Callithrix jacchus: one gene and its partners. The protein of the gene in region 1 interacts with the protein of each later gene in a pairwise test. Links are inferred from orthologs where the notes say so. Each region holds a gene or a part of one and is shown in the gene's direction. Other genes may lie near its edges.

Region 1 (5,153 bases):
GCTTTACAGAGTTTTAAGTATGACTTAGATGGGTCCAGGCAAATAAACTAAAAAGAAGTGAAGGCAGCATGTATCGTCTGGCAGAACTAAATCTTGGAGGGGGTGAGGGATAAAAGACTACATACTGGGGCTGGGCATGGTGGCTCACGCCTGTAATCCCAGCACTTTGAGAGGCCGAGGTGGAAGGATCACCTGAGGTCGGGAGTTCAAGACCAGCCTGACCAACATGGAGAAACCCCGTCTCTACTAAAAATGCAAAATTAACCAGGCATGGTGGCGCATGCCTATAATCCCAGCTATTTGGGAGGCTGAGGCAGGAGACTCGCTTGAACCCGGGAGGTGGAGGTTGCGGTGAGCCGAGATTGCACCATTGCACTCCAGTCTGGGCAACAACAGTGAAACTCCGTCTCAAAAAAAAAAAAAAAAAAAAAAAGACTACCCATTGGGTACAGTACATTGCTTGGGTGATGGGTGCACTAAAATCTCAGAAATCACCACTAAAGAACTCATCCATGTAACCAAACACCACCTGTACCCCAAAAACTATCAAAATAAACTAAACCTTGGGGCCCATTCCCCCTAGGAATGGACTACTGTAGTAGTTGCTTCTTGGGTGCTTTTCTGTGAGATAGCTATATCCAATCCTTAAAGAGTCTAGAGAAAGGTCTGGCCTGGAGATGGGGTACAGGGAGACAGGTGGAGAGGCTTTGAAAAATAAATGATACAACAGTAAACAAAATACTGAAAAAAAAAAAAATGAGGCCAGGCACAGTGGCTAATGCACTTTGGGATGCCGAGGTGGGTGGATCACCTGAGGTCAGGAGTTCGATATGGTGAAACCCTGTCTCTATAAAAAATAACCAAGGTAGGGCTTGGTGGCTGGGGCCTCTAATCCCAGCTACTCGGGGGACTGAGGCAGGAGAATCACTTGAACCCGGGAGGGAGACATTGCAGTAAGCCGAGATGGCGCCACTGCACTCTAGCCTAGGAAACTCTTATCTCAAAAAAAAAAAAAAAAAAGGGACACTTCTTTATAGTCCTCAATTTGTCCCTTCTCAGGATTCAACTAGCTTCCTTTCACTCGCTTTCTTAAAAATCCTTTGGTTGGTTGCAGACAGCCTGCTTAGAAAAAAAAATCCTGGCCAGTCGCGGTGACTCGCGCCTGTAATTCCAACACTTGGGGAGGTCGAGAAGGAAGAATCACGAGGTCAGGAGATCGAGACCATCCTGGCTCTGAAACCCGTCTCTACTAAAAATACAAAAAAATTAGCCGGATGTGGTGGCACGCGCCTGTAGTCTCGGCTACTCGGGAGGCTGAAGCAGCAGAATCGTTTGAACCCGGGAGGCGGAGGTTGCAGTGAGCCGAGATTGCGCCACTGCACTCCAGCCCGGGTGACAGAGACTCCGTCTCCCCACCCCAAAAAAATCCTGTATGGTTATAACAAACTCCCTAGTAGCTAGAGAGATGAAGTCTATGTGTCACTTATGTCTTGATCTCTTCTCTGGGGAATTCAATACTAAAAGGAGCTTGGAGAAACATTTTTTTGTTCATCCCTCTAACAGCAGACATCACCCAGGTCAGTCAAAAGCTTCGGAGTAAGGGGCGAGGTGGTTTCGGCGGTGAGGCTGGCCAGCACCGGGGGTGGGGAGGTTTGAGGGATGCCCTCAAGCCGGCCCATTTGTGCGGCTGGGAGGCCCTCTGGCGGCTTTATCCGGGTGCCTTCCAGAGTCAAACCCTCGAAATTGCTTTCCGGACCGAGTTGGTCTGCAGAAAGGAGAACAGATTTAAGAGGAAGGCGGTCATAGGTAAACTGAACGTCCGTCACGCCCACTCCTGTCACGGAAACTGGCCTCTAAAAGGTGGGGTAAAGATAAAGCCTCTGAAATTTGAGGAAGACCTTCCGCTCTGTCTCCCTTTCACGTCCGACTTACAGTCTTTTACGACAGTATTCGGATCGCGCGCGGGCTTGCTTTCCGGCAGCGTGGGCTGACGTCTCGCTCGTTTTCCTACGGGGCTGCGCAGGTTTCACTCTTCTGCGAATCGGCCAGTGGAGGGGTTTAAATGTTCGAGTGCCAATACGGGAATGAGCCTCTTTGATCTCTTCCGGGGCTTTTTCGGCTTTCCTGGACCTCGGAGGTGAGAGTAGGTCCGGGTCGGACAAGGGTGAGGTCGTCTGAGAAGAGTTTGACCCCTTACGTCTTATTTTTGGGAAAACATCCTCTGGCCTACTCCTTCAACCCCTGTGAAGTCGTAACATTGAGCACTCGCCCCGCCACAGTAACCAGGGTGGTCGTTAAGAGGAGAAACAGCAAACTAAGCCTTTCTCCAACCTGGGGTGATGCAACAAGGACCCGGGCGGGATAGACAATTGGGGTCTGGGGAAGAGGACAGCGGGCTTGTGACCAGGACCTTGGGAGAGAGGGGAGGGGCTGGGGCACACTTAAGGAAAACTGGGGAAAGGTGTTTGAAGGGAGTTGCGAGCTGAGGTCTGACTTTGATAAAAAACAAAACCAGAACTGTCGGACATTGTATTAATATTTTGATGTGGCAGCCAGCCCTCCGACCCTCTCCCCAGCTTCCCAAATCGCTTGCTCTTGTCCCACTTTGCCACCCATGAGTTGATTTTATGGCTTAAGTCGTGCTGAAATCTTGGTGGCCAATCTGCCTCCACTCTCAGCCACAGAGATCCCTTTTTTGGAGGGATGACTCGAGATGAAGATGATGAGGAGGAAGAGGAAGAAGGAGGCGCATGGGGCCGTGGGAACCCCAGGTTCGATAGTCCTCAGCCCCCTGAGGAATTTGGCTTCAGCTTCAGCCCAGGAGGAGGGATACGTTTACATGATAACTTCGGCTTTGATGACCTAGTACGAGATTTCAATAGCATCTTCAGCCATATGGGGGCCTGGACCTTGCCTTCTCATCTTCCTGGTGTGTGGCTTTCCCTGAGGCACAACCTGTGGTTTCTAGTGGGTTGGTGGGTGAAATAAAGAGCCTGCAGGGAGTAGCTGGGGGATGGGACGTGTGAGAAGATGGATAATTTCAGGGAGATGTATACAGCCCAAGTTCTTTCCCACCCCAGCAAACACCTGCCACCTTTCTGCAGAACTTCCAGGTCCTGAGTCAGAGACACCTGGTGAGAGACTGCGGGAGGGACAAACACTTCGGGACTCAATGCTTAAGTATCCAGATAGTCACCAGCCCAGGATCTTTGGGGGGGTCTTGGAGAGTGATGCAAGAAGTGAATCCCCCAAACCAACACCATACTGGGGCTTCCAGAGACCATTTCATAGGGTGAGTATCCCATCTGGGCCTGAAGTGAGAGCTTGTGAGAGACTACTAATTAAAAGTGCAAAGATTGGCCAGGTGCGGTAGCTTAACGCCTGTAATCCCAGCACTTTAGGAGGCTGAGACAGGCGGATCACCTGAAGTGAAGAGTTAGAGACCAGCCTGGTCAACATGGTGAAATACCATCTCTGCCAAAAATACAAAAAATTAGTAGGTTGTGGTGGCAGGCACCTGTTTTCCCAGCTACTCAGGAGGCCAAGGCAGGAGAGGGGCTTGAACCCAGGAGGCAGAGGTTGCAGTGAGCTGAGATCACACCATTGCACTCCAGCCTAGGCGACAAGAGCAAGACTTCATCTCAAAAAAAATAAATAAATAAAAGGCCAGGTGTAGTGGCTCACGCCTGTAATCCCAGAGACAGGAGGATCACCTGAGGTCAGGCATTTGACACCAGCCTGGCTAACATGGTGAAACCCCATCTCTAATAAAAATAAAAAATTAGCTGGATGTGGTGGTGTGCCCCTGTAGTCCCAGCTACTTGGGAGGCTGAGGCAGGATAATTGCTTGAACCCAGGACAAGGACATTTCAGTGAGCTGAGATCATGCCACTGCTCTCCAGCCTGGGTGATAGAGTAAGACTGTCTCAAAAAAAAAAAAAAAAAAAAAGGCCAGGTACAATGGCTCACGCCTGTAATCCCAGCCCACTTTGGGAGGTGGGCAGATCACAAGGTTAGGAGTTCAAGACCAGCCTGATCAACATGGTGAAACCCCTTCTCTACTTAAACTACAAAAAAATTAGCCAGGCATGGTGGTACATGCCTGTAATCCCAGCTATCTGGGCTGAGGCAGGAGAATCGCTTGAACCCAGGAGGTGGAAGGGGAAAAAAGGTGCAAAAAGGGTGCAAATATTGGACTTTTTTTTTTTTTTTGAGAACGAATCTTGCTCTTTCACCGAGGCTGGAGGGCAGTTGCATGTTCTCAGCTTACTGCAACCTCTGATTCCCAGGATCAAGTGATTCTCCTACCTCATCCCCCTGAGGAGCTGGGATTATAGTCACCCCCCAAACACCCAGCTAATTTTTGTATTTCTGGTAGAGATGAGGTTTCATCATGTTGGCCAGGCTACTTTCGAGCTCCTGACCTCAGGCGATCCACCTGCCTCAACCTTCCAAAGTGCTGGGATTAGAAGCATGAGCCATTGTGCCTGGCCAAAGATTGCATTTCTTGTTTGAATCTGATAGCTTTGGGTTGGAATCCTAGCCCCCCATTTAGTGTGTTTATATGTTTTCTATATTAAGCTCATGGGGTTTTTTTTTAGAGGGAAATGGGTGTTCTGTTTCTTAAAAAAACAAAACAAAAATACCACTGGTCTACATAATTCTTGGATAAGGCAGGATTGTGCACAGAGGATAGGAATATATTAGTTGAGGAAATTTTTCTGGTAGAAGGATATATAAAACAGCCAGGAAGGAGGAAACAGTGGGTAAATAGAGCTATTCTGAATGGAATTCTCTGTCCTCTGGAAGGGGGTTTTGGAGTTTGGGAGTAGTTTGGGGTCTATAACCTTTCAAGTTTCAGATTGGAAGGTGTCTTTTCACTTACTATGGTTTCTTCTGCAGTTTGATGACATATGGCCTGTGGACCCTCATCCTAGAACCAGAGAGGACAATGGTAAGTCTGGAGGAAGGGGAAGTTTACCAGTCTTTTGTTACTCTTCTGAAATTCTGTCTGTTCTCCCTCAGACCTGAAGTTTCTTCCTGTACACTTGTCTCTTTTTTCCCTTGGAATCTTTCTCTCCTGGTTCTTTTCTCTGCTCTTCCAGATCTTGATGCCCAGGTTGCCCAGGAGGGTCTTGGCTCGGTTCTACAGC
Region 2 (4,375 bases), on another chromosome or scaffold:
AGAAGCCTTTATCAGAGATCCTTACATCTCCTGTGTGAGTGTTTCCGTGACTGCAAAACCAGTTAAACTTTTATCCTTTTTCTTCTCTGGGTTGGGGAAGATTGTGTTTGTGAGAGGGAGAGAGACAGCAGAGAAGGAGGATATAATTACTATGCTGTATACTTTGAGCTAAAACTGCCAAAACACACACATGCACATGCACATGCACACACACAGATAATTATGCTTTGATTTCAGTCTTAAGAGTACCTTGATGGTATTTGTAAATGGGATTGGGCACAGTTTGGCGGACAGTCAGTTTGGGATGATATTTCAGTCTGTAGGGCCAAGCTATTTTACAATTTGCATTTTGAAGTTGTCACTCTCCTAGCAGATGGTGGGAGATAAACTATTACTTCTTAACCTCAGACTTAGTCTTCGGTCCAGATGAGGAAGATTAAAAGATTATAAATATCTTGCACCAGATGAGGTGATTTTATCTTGAAATGACCATAAATTCGTATCAGTTGTTTCACCGGGATATTTGTGGTGGAGTTTGTACACTTGAGTTTTAGGATAGATGATCTGTTTTACATTTATTAAGAATGCCTTTATACCACGTATTGCCTGTTGCAATGTTTTGAGTATATTCCAGAAGTGAAATTTCTGGGAAATAATAATAGAATACAAACTGTGACTTGAAAGTCAACTAGGGCCTGCATTTGTATCATGATCTGTTTGAGTGTTGGTGAGAAAACAGCTGTAAAGAAAAAGTTTTAAACAAGTTGCGTTTTCCTTTAAGAAGCCACTAAGCGTGAGTCCTTTTAGTGTATATTTCTAGACTCCTAGTTTGCGGAGTTTAGACTAAGACTAAAAAAAAAAAAATTGTGTTGTAACTTCATTTTTGTTTGTATTTTAGACACCAAAGGCTCTATTCCCTGCTGGACAGGTTTCGTCTCTCCACCCTGCAAGACTCACTCAGTCCCTCTCCTCCAGTCTCTTCCCACCCGCTGGACGGGGATGGGCACGTGTCACTGGAAACAGTGAGTCCAGACAAAGTAAGTGTCCAGCCTGTCTGCATGGGAGGTACAGGGCACATGCAGGGTGGTGCTGAGTGCCACTGTCACCTCTAGCAGATAGAGAGTGTGCAGAGGAGGTACAGTGAACCCAAGGAGTCTGGGGCTCGGCCCGAGCCAGCTTTGGTTAGAGATGTGGGGCACCACTAAGGTCCTAGGATGTGGGACCCATATGTTAGGAGTATGGGGCCCAGTAGTTAGTGGGTGAATCAAGGGAAGGTTGGCCAGGGCCTGCAGGATTCTGACTGCACAGGCCTTCAAGCACCTGTCAGTGCGTTTAGCCTGCCTCCATTTCCTTACGCCTTCTGGCCTCCTGTCAGTTGCACCACCACTGCCAGCCATTCTGGCATGTTGTCAGCACCTCCACTGCTCACACTCAGGGTTACTTAGGGACTGCCTGGAGCCTTGGTAGAGCCTTGGTACTCTACTTTCCTGGAGAGAGTTCAGCTTATGAATGTGAATTTAGATTTCAAAAACCCGCAGCCCAAGTATAGGAAAGCGAATGTTCAGTCCTGCCTTCTTAGGCTTTGTTGCACCTGCCCTGCCCTGGTTGCTGGGGAGAGACGAGCAAAGCAAAGCCCAGGGAGGATGTAAAGGGGCTGCTAACCCTTAGTGCTTTAGCTGTATTTGGAAGGACTGTTGGAAGTTCACGAGGTGACAGGGAGACTGCAAGGGTGCTCAGGCAGGTAACGGAAGTCCAAAGGTGGTGTGGGTAACGGAAGTCCAAAGGTGGTATGGCTCCCCACATAAAGCTGTATTTGGAAGGACTGTTGGAAGTTCACGAGGTGACAGGGAGACTGCAAGGGTGCTCAGGCAGGTAACGGAAGTCCAAAGGTGGTATGGCTCCCCACACCTGTGGTGTGGGGACCCATAGGGCCACAGCATGCTGGCTGTTGTCCCTCTTGGTTAGCCCAGTGCAGTGTTCCCAAGCACTGGCCTAGGCCCGTAGCTCCAGGAATGTGAAGACCCCTTGAATGCCGCCCATCATGTTCCCTGTATCCATTTTTTCTTCTCAGGACTGGTACATCCATCTTGTCAAATCCCAGTGTTGGACCAGGTCAGACTCTGCACTGCTGGAAGGTGCAGAGTTGGTGAATCGGATTCCTGCTGAAGATATGAGTGCCTTCATGATGAACTCGGTACGGGGGGGAGCAGCGGAGGCAAGGAATCCTCAACTTTTACTTGTGACTTCCAAGTGGGATTTGTCTCATCATCATGACCCACTTGTTGACAACACCTGCTGGGGACTCCACTCTGGCTATGGACAGGAGGCTGGGGAGACTCCTGTCTGAATGGGGCTGGGAAGTGGGGAGGACTCGATTTCAGATGGGGCTGGGACGTGGGGGATATGCTGATCCAGATAGGAAAGCACATTATTTCAGCCATGTTAGAATCCAAGAAGGCAAGTTGATTTCACTCAACCTTTCATGCATTTAAAGAAAATGTAGATGGTGGCCAGGTGTGGTGGCTTATGCCTGTAATCTCAGCACTTTGGGAGTCCAAGGCGGGCGGATCACCTGAGGTCAGGAGTTCGAAACCAGCCTGACCAACATGGAGAAACTCCATCTCTACTAAAAATACAAAAATTAGCTGGGCATGGTGGTGCATGCCTGTAATCCCAGCTACTCGGGAGGCTGAGGCAGGAGAATTGCTTGAACCCAGGAGGCAGAGGTTGCGGTGAGCCGAGATTGTGCCACTGCACTCCAGCCTGGGCAACAAAAGCGAAACTCCGTCTCAGAAAAAAAAAAAAAGGAGGTGATCTTGTATTATAGTCAGTTTGCTTCTTTGTTCTCATGGCAGTGAGGAAGGGTTTTGGATTGTTGTCTGAGGTCGAGAATATGAGGGAATGAAGTGTGGCCCTGGGCACTCCGATTGGCATCTGTGGTGGGGAATATGAGCGGCAGGGGAGCAGGGTAGAAACTGGATGGCAATTGGAAGCAGGCAACTGTGGAATTTGAAACAAGTTGATGGGAACCCTCTCTCAAGAGGAGGTACTGTTTTGAAATTCAGCTGGCCCCAAGGCTGGGTGTATGGTTTAGGATGAGAACTATTTGGCCTCCACCAGAGGAACAAACACGGGATTTTATCACCTACACTCATTGGCCAACACAGAATGGAAGTCAAGGTTGCATATTTGCCATAGACTTTGACACAACATCATGCATGCCTTCAATAGCATGTTTATTCTGGAAGTTAAAGGAGACTCTTGGATGCAGTGAGATTTCCTCTACCCATACCTCTGTTAGATGTAGTGAGGTTCTTCACCTCCCAATCCCAGATGTCAGAGGGCACCCTGTGCAGAGCCAGCCCAGGAGGCCTTGGTGTCCCTGTACTCCAAGCCCATGGACAGGTCCTGTGAGCAGCAGGGGCCTGCCTCTTGCGTGTGGTGCAGCTGTGGCCCGAGCAGGGTTTCCTCTCGGACCTGCTGGGACGGGAGAAACTTCCTGGTGTGTTAGCCCTGCGTCGATAAGCAGCAAATGGGAGGGAAGTGGGCACCTGGGAGGGCAAAGGCATGTAGAGCTGGGGGTGGCTGCAGGTGTTCATGAAAAGACCTTTCAGGGAACGCAGCACAACAGGGTGTTCTGACGCATTGAAGAGCTATACTGAAAACAGGAGAACTCGCCCAAAATTGGTTTGCTAAAATCGTTTAAGATTCATGCAGTGAAAGCTGACTTATGAGTGATGAGTTTGCTTAGTGATTGGCTTACTAGGTTTTTCAGGTTTGCTCTTTGGACTTGAACAGCTATAGAAGTTCTGTCTGTAGAAGAAAGCTTCAGCTTTTGGCATTAATTATGCTTCTCTGAGTATTAAACTTAAGATTGATGTTTTACCTGAAAAACTGGCCCCCAATCCTGAAATGGCTAAACAAAAAGTTGGGAAAACATAATACAGATTGTCGTAGGAAATACCATTTTTCCAACCAAAATTGTGGCATTCACATGGCTGCTTTTACTTATTTCAGCTACATTTGAACAACTTTCTCAAGCTTCAGGAATTACTGGTGTATCACTGATGTCTTAGATGACACTTTTGCTTTTATTTAGATTTTCTGTTTTATGAATTAAAATTGTCATACCAAAATTTTTATTTCAAGCAAATCCAAGAGCATTAAAAATTAAAATACCAAAAGAGAATAGAAATACATTTTACTAAACATATGTTCAATGGAATTGTTCAAACATTTATAATAGGCATAGAATAGACTATTCTTAAAAGTAGTTCTGATGGGTGTACTAATCTGTATTTTCTTAGAAACATTTGCCTTATCCTTTTTTCTGTTGTATTTTTCTTGCCTGGTTGAAAGCTCATAATCTGTTGTT
Region 3 (4,375 bases), on another chromosome or scaffold:
GGGATCTGTCTCCTAACATAATGTATTGTGGTTGTCCTCTCTGACACCAGCATCGGAGGTTAGAGAAAGTCTCCAAACATGAAGCCAAGGGAGAGGAAACAACCAATTGAAAGTGAGAAATCTATAACCATTCACCAAGCTGTGTTATTGTGTTTGGAGACCACAAATAGCATAAGTACTGCCTTGCATGTCTTCAGTACTGGCTTTAAAAGCTGTCCCCAAAAGAGTATTTCTAAAATATTTTGAGCATTGTTAAGTAGATTTTTAACCTCCCGAGAGGGCACTAATTGGAAAGCTAACACCTCACTACAATCATTGTTAACCTATTTAGTTACAACATCTCATTTTTGAGCATGCAAATAAATGAAAAAAGTCCTCCTAAAAATCATACATCTCTTTATCCTGGAAGAAAAGGAGGAAGAAAGCTGAGACAGAAGGGAGAGAGGGAGGAGAGAAGGAGGGAAGCCCAATGAAACACGAGTTACCTAAGTCCAGAATGGAGATCCTTCTCGCTACATCTGTTGAATATAGCACCTGTTGAACAGACTTTCTTTTCCTGATCATGGACAGCCTCTCAGTTTCTGTTTTCCTTCATAATAGAAATCCTTCTATGATGTAAACTATGGCTCACACCATGAAGAATGCATGGATCAGTCTGTGTCTCTGAGTATCTCTGAAACCTCTAAGACATCCAAGCTTACCTTCAAGGAGAGTGTGGTGATAGTGTCAACCAATGGGAAGGTTCTGAAGAAGAGACGGTTGACTTTAAACCATTCCATCACTGATGATGACCTGGAGGGCATCGCCAATGACATAGAAGAAGGTAAGGGGTCAAGCACAATAATATCCTTGTTTTCAAGGATTTTTTTATTTTTAATTTTATTGTACTTTAGGTTCTGGGGTACATGTGCAGACCATGCAGGATTGTTGCATAGGTACACACACAGCAATGTGGTTTGCTGCCTCCATCCCCCCGTCACCTACATCTGGTATTTCTCCCCATGTTATCCCTCCCCGACCTCCCACCTCCACATCCCTCCCTTGGCCCCCACCAACAGACCCCAGTGTGTGATGCTCCCCTTCCTGTGTCCAGGTGTTCTCACCATTCAACACCCACCTGTGAGTGAGAACATGCAGTGTTTGATTTTCTGTTCTTGTGTCAGTTTGCTGAGAATGATGGTTTCCAGGTTCATCCATGTACCTATAAAGGAGACGAACTCATCGTTTCTTATGGCTGCATAATATTCCACAGTGTGTATGTGCCACATTTTCCTTGTCCAGTCTATTGTTGATGGGCATTTGGGTTAGTTCCAGGTCTTTGCTATTGTAAACAGTGCCACTATGATTATATGTGTGCATGTGCCCTTATAAAAGAACAATTTATGATCCTTTGGATATATACCCAGTAATGGGATTGCTGGGTCAAATGGAATTTCTATTTCTAGGTTCTTGATGAATCGCCACACTGTCTTCCACAATGGTTGAACTAATTTACACTCCCACCAGCAGTGTAAAAGTGTTCCTATTTCTCCACATCCTCTCCAGCATCTGTTGTCTCCAGATTTTTTAATGATCGCCATTCTAACTGGTGTGAGGTGGTATCTCAATGTGGTTTTGATTTGCATTTCTCTAATAATCAGTGACGATGAGCATTTTTTCATATGTTTGTTGGCCTCATGTATGTCTTCTTTTAAAAAGTGTCCGTTCATATCCTTCTCCCACTTCTGGATTGGTTTGTTTGTTTTTTTCTTGTAAATCTGCTTTAGTTCTTTGTAGATTCTGGATATTAGCTCTTTGTCAGATGGGTAGATTGCAAAAATTGTTTCCCATTCTGTTGGTTGCCGGTTCACTCTAATCATTGTTTCTTTTGCTGTACAGAAGCTCTGGAGTTTAATTAGGTCTCATTTGTCTATTTTGGCTTTTGTTGCCAATGCTTTTTGTGTTTTAGTCATGAAATCCTTGCCTATGCCTATGTCCTGAATGGTTTTGCCTTGGTTTTCTTCTAGGGTTTTTATGGTGTTAGGTCTTATTTTTAAATCTTTAATCCATCTGGAGTTAATTTTAGTGTCAGGTGTCAGGAAGGGGTCCAGTTTCTGCTTTCTGCACACTGCTAGCCAGTTTTCCCAGCACCATTTATTAAACAGGGTATCCTTTCCCCATTGCTTGTTTTTGTCAGGTTTGTCAAAGATCAGATAGTTGTAGATGTGTGGCATTGCCTCCAAGGCCTCTGTTCTGTTCCATTGGTCTATAACTCTGTTTTCATACCAGTACCATGCTGTTTTGATTACTGTAGTTTTGTAGTATGGTCTGAAGTCAGGTGGTGTGATGCCTCTGACTTTGTTTATTTTGCTTAGGTTTGTCTTGGCTATGAGGGCTCTCTTTTGGTTCCATATGAAGTTTAAGGTGTTTTTTTCCAGATCTGTGAAGAAGGTCATTGGTAGCTTGATGGGGATAGCATTGAATCTATAGATTACTTTGTGCAGCATGGCCATTTCCATGATATTGATTCTTCCTAACCATGAGCATGGAATGTTTCTCCATTTGTTTGTGTCCTCTTTTATTTCCTTGAGCAGTGGTTTGTAGTTCTCCTTGAATAGGGCCTTTACATCCTTTGTTAGTTGTATTCCTAGTATTTTATTCTCTTTGTAGTAATTGTAAATGGGAGTTTGCTCATGATTTGGCTCTCTGTTAGTCTGTTATTGGTGTATAGGAATGCTTGTGATTTCTGCACATTGATTTTGTATCCTGAGACTTTGCTGAAGTTGCTTATCAGTTTAAGGAGATTTTGGGCTGAGATGATGGGGTCTTCTAAATATACAATCATGTCATCTGCAAATAGAGATAATTTGACTTCCTTCTTTCCTAATTGAATACACTTTATTTTTTTTTCTTGCCTGATTGCTCTGGCTAGAATTTCCAAATACTATATTGAATAGGAGTGGTGACAGAGGACATCCTTGTCTAGTGCTGGATTTCAAACGGAATGCTTCCAGTTTTTGCCCATTCAGTATGATATTAGCTGTAGGTTTGTCATAAATAGCTTTTATTATTTTGAGATATGTTCCTTCAATACCGAGTTTATTGAGGGTTTTTAGCATAAAGTGCAGTTGAATTTTGTCAAAGGCCTTCTCTTCATCTATTGAGATAATCAGGTGGTTTTTGTCTTTGGTTCTGTTTATGTGGTGGATTATGTTTATAGACTTGTGTATGTTGAACCAGCCTTGTGTCCCCAGAATGAAGGCTAATTGATCATGATGGATAAGCTTTTTGATGTGCTGTTGCAATCGGTTTGCCAGTATTTTATTGAAGATTTTTGCATCTATGTTCATCATGGATATTGGCCTGAAGTTTTCTTTTCTTATTGAGTCTCTGCTGGGTTTTGGTATCAGGATGATGTTGGCCTCATAAAATGATTTCGGGAGGATTCTGCCTTTTTGGATTGTTTGGAATAGTTTCAGAAGGAATGGTATCAGCTCCTCTTTGTACGTCTGGTAGAATGCTGCTGTGAACCTGTCTGGACCTGGACTTTTTTGGTTGGTAGGCTATTAATTGCTGCCTCAACTTCAGCCCTTGTTATTGGTCATTTGAAGGTTTCAACTTCTTCCTGGTTTAGGCTTCGGAGGGTGCAACTGTCCAGGAATTTATCCATTTCTTCCATGTATACTGGTTTATGTGCATAGAGTTGTTTGTAGTAATCTCTGATTGTAATTTGTGGAGTCAGTGGTGATATCCCCTTTATCATTTTTTATTGCATCTGATTCCTCTCCCTTTTCTTTTTTATTAATCCTGATAGTGGTCTGTCTATTTTGTCGATCTATTCCAAAAACCAGCTCCTGGATTTATTGATTTTTTGAAGGATTTTTTGTGTCTCTATCTCCTTCAGTTCTGCTCTGATCATAGTTATTTCTTGTCTTCTGCTAGCTTTTGAGTTTTTTAATCTTCTTCCTCTAGCTCTTTCAATTTTGATGAATGGGGGCCGATTTTAGATCTTTCCTTGCTTCTCTGGTGGGCATTCATTGCTATAAATTTCCCTCTAGACACTGCTTTAAATGTGTCCCAGAGATCCTGGTATGTTGTGTCTTCGTTCTCATTGGTTTCAAAGATCATCTTTATTTCTGCCTTCATTTCATTGTTTATCCAGTTGACATTTGGGATCCACTTGTTCAGTTTCCAAGAGAAGGTTGTGCAGTTCTGAGTTAGTTTCTTAATTCTGAGTTCTAATTTGATTGCACTGTGGTCTGAGAGACTGTTTGTTATGATTTCCGTTCTTTGGCATTTGCTGAGGAGTGATTTACTTCTAATTATGTGGTCAATTTTAGAGTAGGTGCGATGTGGTGCTGAGAAGAATGCATATCCTATGGATTTAGGGTGGAGA
Region 4 (4,375 bases), on another chromosome or scaffold:
CTAAATTTGTAGTTTTCTAGCTTTTGATTACTGCGCTGGTGCTAGGTAATTCCAAGAGAAGAAAGGGCTACTATTTTTTTTTTTCTCTCTCTCTTTTTTTGAGACAGCTTCCCTCTGTCGCCCAGGCTGGAGTGCAGTGTCACAACTTCCGCCCACTGCAATCTCTGCCTCCTGGGTTCAAGCACTTCTGCCTCAGCCTCCTGAGTAGCTGAGACTACAGGCCCGTGCCACCACGCCCAGCTAATTTTTGTATTTTTTAGTAGAGACGGGATTTCACTATGTTGGCCAGGATGGTCTGGGATCTCTTGATCTCGTAATCCGCCTGCCTCCGCCTCCCAAAGCTCTGGGATTACAGGCGTGACCTATCACACCTGGCCAAAATTGTGTTTCCTTGTTGTTATTTTGTTTTGTTTTGTTTTGTTTTGAAACGGAGCCTTGCGCTGTCGCCTAGGCTGTAGTGGAGTGGCGCAATCTCGGTTTACTGCAATTTCCACCTCCTGGGTTCAAGCAGTTCTCCTGCCGTAGCCTCCTGAGTAGCTGGGACTACAGGCCTGCGCCACCACACCCAGCTATATTTTATGTATTTTTAGTAGAGACGGGTTTTCACGATATTGGCCGGGATGGTCTCCATCTCCTGATCTTGTGATCCACCCGCCTTGGTCTCCCAAAGTGCTGGGGTTACAGGTGTGAGCCACCGTGCCCGGCCCAAAATTGTGTTTTCTTAAGTTTACTGACATTTTGATTTTGGGGTTGTAGACACAAATGAACAACTTTTGAAAACTGCTTTTGTTACTTATTAAAAGGCTAATTTTATCCTTTGTTTCATTATAGATCTTATGCCTTCATTCATCCGGCATGGTCCAACAATTCCCAGACGAACTGATATCTGTCTTCCAGATTCAAGCCCTAATGCCTTTTCAGCTTCTGGAGATGGGGTAGTTTCAAGAAACCAGAGTTTCCTTAGAACTCCAATTCAAAGAACACCTCATGAAATAATGAGAAGAGAAAGCAACAGATTATCTGCACCTTCTTATCTTGCCAGAAGTCTAGCAGATGTCCCTAGAGAGTATGGCTCTTCTCAGTCATTTGTAACGGAAGTTAATTTTGCTGTTGAAAATGGAGACTCTGGTTCCCGATACTATTATTCAGACAATTTTTTTGATGGTCAGAGAAAGCGGCCACTTGGAGATCGTACACATGAAGAATTCAGATATTATGAATACAACCATGATCTCTTCCAAAGAATGCCTCAGAATCAGGGGAGGCATGCTTCAGGTAGCTTAACATATAAATACTATAGTAGTTTATTGACATGTCAAGTGAAAAGATGTTCTTTTCTAGATTTTCTTGGGGCACAAACTAATACTCCTAGCAAAATACTTTTCTACTTTGCTAGTCTTGCTTAAGCCTGTGTGCAAATAGTTGGTAATCTATACTGAATGAATTAACTTGTGTTGTATAAACCTGGTTCTTATCTCAAGGCTGTCTAGTCTCTTAATGCTGTGACTCTTGTAAACCTAGAGAATTTAATGTCTCCAGTTGGGTTGAATTTATGTTCAGATTTGGTAGAATAATGGGAAGGGTACATCTTCAGAGCCACTGGACTTAAACTTGGGAAAGGAAAGAATAGGAAGAATTGGGCATGCTCAGTGATACCGTGAGCAAGTACATTACTGCAGTTTTTCTTTGAACAAAACTGATTTAGTAGTTCAGGAATTCTTTCCTGAGTTGATCAGAAAGACTTACTGCCATACGGTTGTGTGTTGAGCATGTCTTTTTATTCTTTTTGTAACAGGCAAAAAATATTACCATATAATTAAGGAAAGTAAGGTACTTTTTATATCTTCTGACTTGGAGATACTTCTGAAAGAAGCAGAAGAGATTGGAGAAATGTACAGTTCTACTTTATTCCTAAAGTCCTGGTTTCACTAGATAAAATGAAGCAAGAAGAAAATAAAACTTTCTTGTCTGATTATTTTTTTCTACCAAGTAATAGACTTTAAATTTTGGCAGGATAAAAATAAAATATGAGAGAGATTTACTTTTTGGCCCACATAAGTTCAAATAAGGTGACTTTAAAAATGTTTTGGAGCATTAGTATTTTGACTGTAGAAAAATTTATTCATTTAGTATTAATTGTTTACGTGTCTAGCGTTTTCCTTGGGCCTGTTGGTCTCTGCTTTCTGGTACCTTATTTGTCTGGTACCTTCTTTGGGGAAACAAAACCAGTTTATACACAATGGTCACAAAGCAATTGTTATACTTTGTGATACTAACTGTAAGTGCAACAGGGAGTCAGAGAGATATTAGTGTAGACTGAAATACTTAAAGAGATGATTCATAGAAGAGGTTGGACTTGGACTGGGCCTCAAGCTTGGCCTTTAGATGAACAGGGGCCAGAAGAAGGACATTTTATGTGGAAAATTGGGAATAACACAATGAAAACAGAGTAGGCCTGGTTTAAATCTAACGAACAGTGTAGCTCTGCCTGGTTTGAAGAAATAAGATGTAACATGGAATGGAGATTTGTGGTTCAACAATAGGCTTATAGATTTGAGTCAAGTGGAAGTTATTGCACATTTCAAAAAGACAAGTGATTCTATGAAAGCAGTGTTTAAAGATTACTTTTGTACTAGAATTAAGGGTAGATTCCTAGAGAAAAGAGGATTGCAGGTACCAGTGGGTACCAGTGGTAATAGGAAAGGGAAATCTAGGACGTTTTTGAAGGAAAAATGAGAATTAGAGTTTAGGAGAAAGCAAATCACTGAAGTTTTAAATAACGTGAAGTAGTTGGTAAGAACAACTTATTTATGAAAGCTGACATCAGAGTCTCACTGGAACATTAAGAGCAGAGGTTTTCTGGGCATGTAGAAGTGCAGTAAGAGCCATGGGTGAGCACCTTTTCGTTTTTAAAGAATTAGGTTAAAGGATTAAGACAACTGCATGCTTGAGTGTTTATTTTGGTTGTTTCTGATATGCACTTCTGAACCTCAGGAATAATTTGTTATCTAACTAAAATAGTTTTAAAAAATAAAGCTCGTTTATATTTTCTTCTAGAATAATAACTGCTTATTATAGGAAATCTGCAGCAAAGTAAAGGCAGCAAATCTGCAGCAAAGTAAAGGCAAAGTACCCATCTGCTAGAGATCTCAGTATATTATTTGCTTCATTTTTTTCATGCCAAATTCTTTTTTTATATTGATGTGATTATATAATATTTTGTATAGTTTTCTGTTCTTGCTTTTTACTTGAATCATTTTCTTCATGTTGTATACTTTTTATGAGTAGTTTTAATGACTGTATAATCTTCCATTTGGTGCATATTCAGTGGTTAATGAAGGCTTGACCTGTACTTCAAAAATTTGGAAAGGGGAAAAAGTGGGTCATGCCCAAATTAATGGGACTTGACCACTAATGGGGTTTGAAGGACAAAGGAGAAAGAAGAGTCAAATAGGATTAGCACAGCCACATGACTGCCTAACAGATGCTTACAAAAATAAATGGCTGAATGAGTGAATGAACCGAGAGGTTTTAAATCTGGAGACTTAAGAGAGTTTTTGGTAGCTGAGGGGCAACAGAAATAGCCATGTTTACTGTTGCTATAGAATATGTGTTACTCTTTGCATTCACCTTTCCCATCTATATTGCAGACATCACTGAAAGCTTGTAATACTTTTCTACCTGAGTTATAAGTATGTAAATATGAAGAATAAATAATAAGTTAAACTTTTGTTTTCAAAATTGAATTTGCAAAATATAGTCGAGGAAATACTATAAGAACTAAATCTCTACTGATCCTTTCTTAGGAGCAATTTGACATAATTTTTAAAAGTTTAAAAACAGACTTTAAAACAACTTTCCAATAAAGTAAAAGTTAATTATAAGTTTTCAAATTCAAGTATGTCATTTAAAAAAATTTAGATTTCAGATCACTGATGAAAGAAATTGAAAAGCACAAAAACAAGTGGAAAGACATCCCATGCTTGTGGATCAGAAGAATTAACATCATTAAAATGACAATATTGCCCAAAGTAATCTACATATTCTGTACAATTCCTATTAAAATAACAGTCATTTTTTTCTTTTCTTTTCTTTTTTTTTTTAAGACAGAGTATTGCTTTGTTGCCCAGGCTAGAGTGCAGTGGTGCAATCTCGGCTCACTGCAACCTCTGCCTCCAGGGTTCAAGCAGTTCTCCTGCCTCAGCCTCCTGAGTAGCTGGGATTATAGGCACCTGCTACCGTACTTGGCTAATTTTTGTATTTTTAGTAGAGACAGGGTTTCACCATCTTGACCAGGCTGATCTTGAACTCCTGACCTTGTGATCCACCCACTTCGGCTTCCCAAAGTGTTGGGATTACAGGCGTGAGCCACCGT

What was found.
Region 2: the proteins of HAX1 (region 1) and HTT interact in binary tests that used the Homo sapiens proteins (3 or more experiments, as listed by UniProt). The link is inferred for Callithrix jacchus from reciprocal best matches to the Homo sapiens genes HAX1 and HTT.
Region 3: the proteins of HAX1 (region 1) and IL1A interact in binary tests that used the Homo sapiens proteins (3 or more experiments, as listed by UniProt). The link is inferred for Callithrix jacchus from reciprocal best matches to the Homo sapiens genes HAX1 and IL1A.
Region 4: the proteins of HAX1 (region 1) and SAV1 interact in binary tests that used the Homo sapiens proteins (3 or more experiments, as listed by UniProt). The link is inferred for Callithrix jacchus from reciprocal best matches to the Homo sapiens genes HAX1 and SAV1.

What each region holds. Positions count from the first base shown.
Region 1 is NC_133519.1:14,692,868-14,698,020, forward strand, and holds the start of HAX1 (HCLS1-associated protein X-1), read left to right. Parts: upstream 1-2,001; 5' UTR 2,002-2,084; coding exon 2,085-2,137; intron 2,138-2,678; coding exon 2,679-2,929; intron 2,930-3,080; coding exon 3,081-3,292; intron 3,293-4,902; coding exon 4,903-4,954; intron 4,955-5,105; coding exon 5,106-5,153. UniProt on the Homo sapiens protein: Recruits the Arp2/3 complex to the cell cortex and regulates reorganization of the cortical actin cytoskeleton via its interaction with KCNC3 and the Arp2/3 complex. Slows down the rate of inactivation of KCNC3 channels. Promotes GNA13-mediated cell migration.
Region 2 is NC_133504.1:189,944,866-189,949,240, reverse strand, and holds part of HTT (huntingtin), read left to right. Parts: intron 1-898; coding exon 899-1,037; intron 1,038-2,071; coding exon 2,072-2,194; intron 2,195-4,375.
Region 3 is NC_133515.1:21,801,125-21,805,499, forward strand, and holds part of IL1A (interleukin-1 alpha), read left to right. Parts: intron 1-600; coding exon 601-823; intron 824-1,117; exon of another isoform or gene 1,118-1,201; intron 1,202-4,375. UniProt on the Homo sapiens protein: Cytokine constitutively present intracellularly in nearly all resting non-hematopoietic cells that plays an important role in inflammation and bridges the innate and adaptive immune systems.
Region 4 is NC_133509.1:85,225,708-85,230,082, reverse strand, and holds part of SAV1 (protein salvador homolog 1), read left to right. Parts: intron 1-831; coding exon 832-1,275; intron 1,276-4,375. UniProt on the Homo sapiens protein: Regulator of STK3/MST2 and STK4/MST1 in the Hippo signaling pathway which plays a pivotal role in organ size control and tumor suppression by restricting proliferation and promoting apoptosis.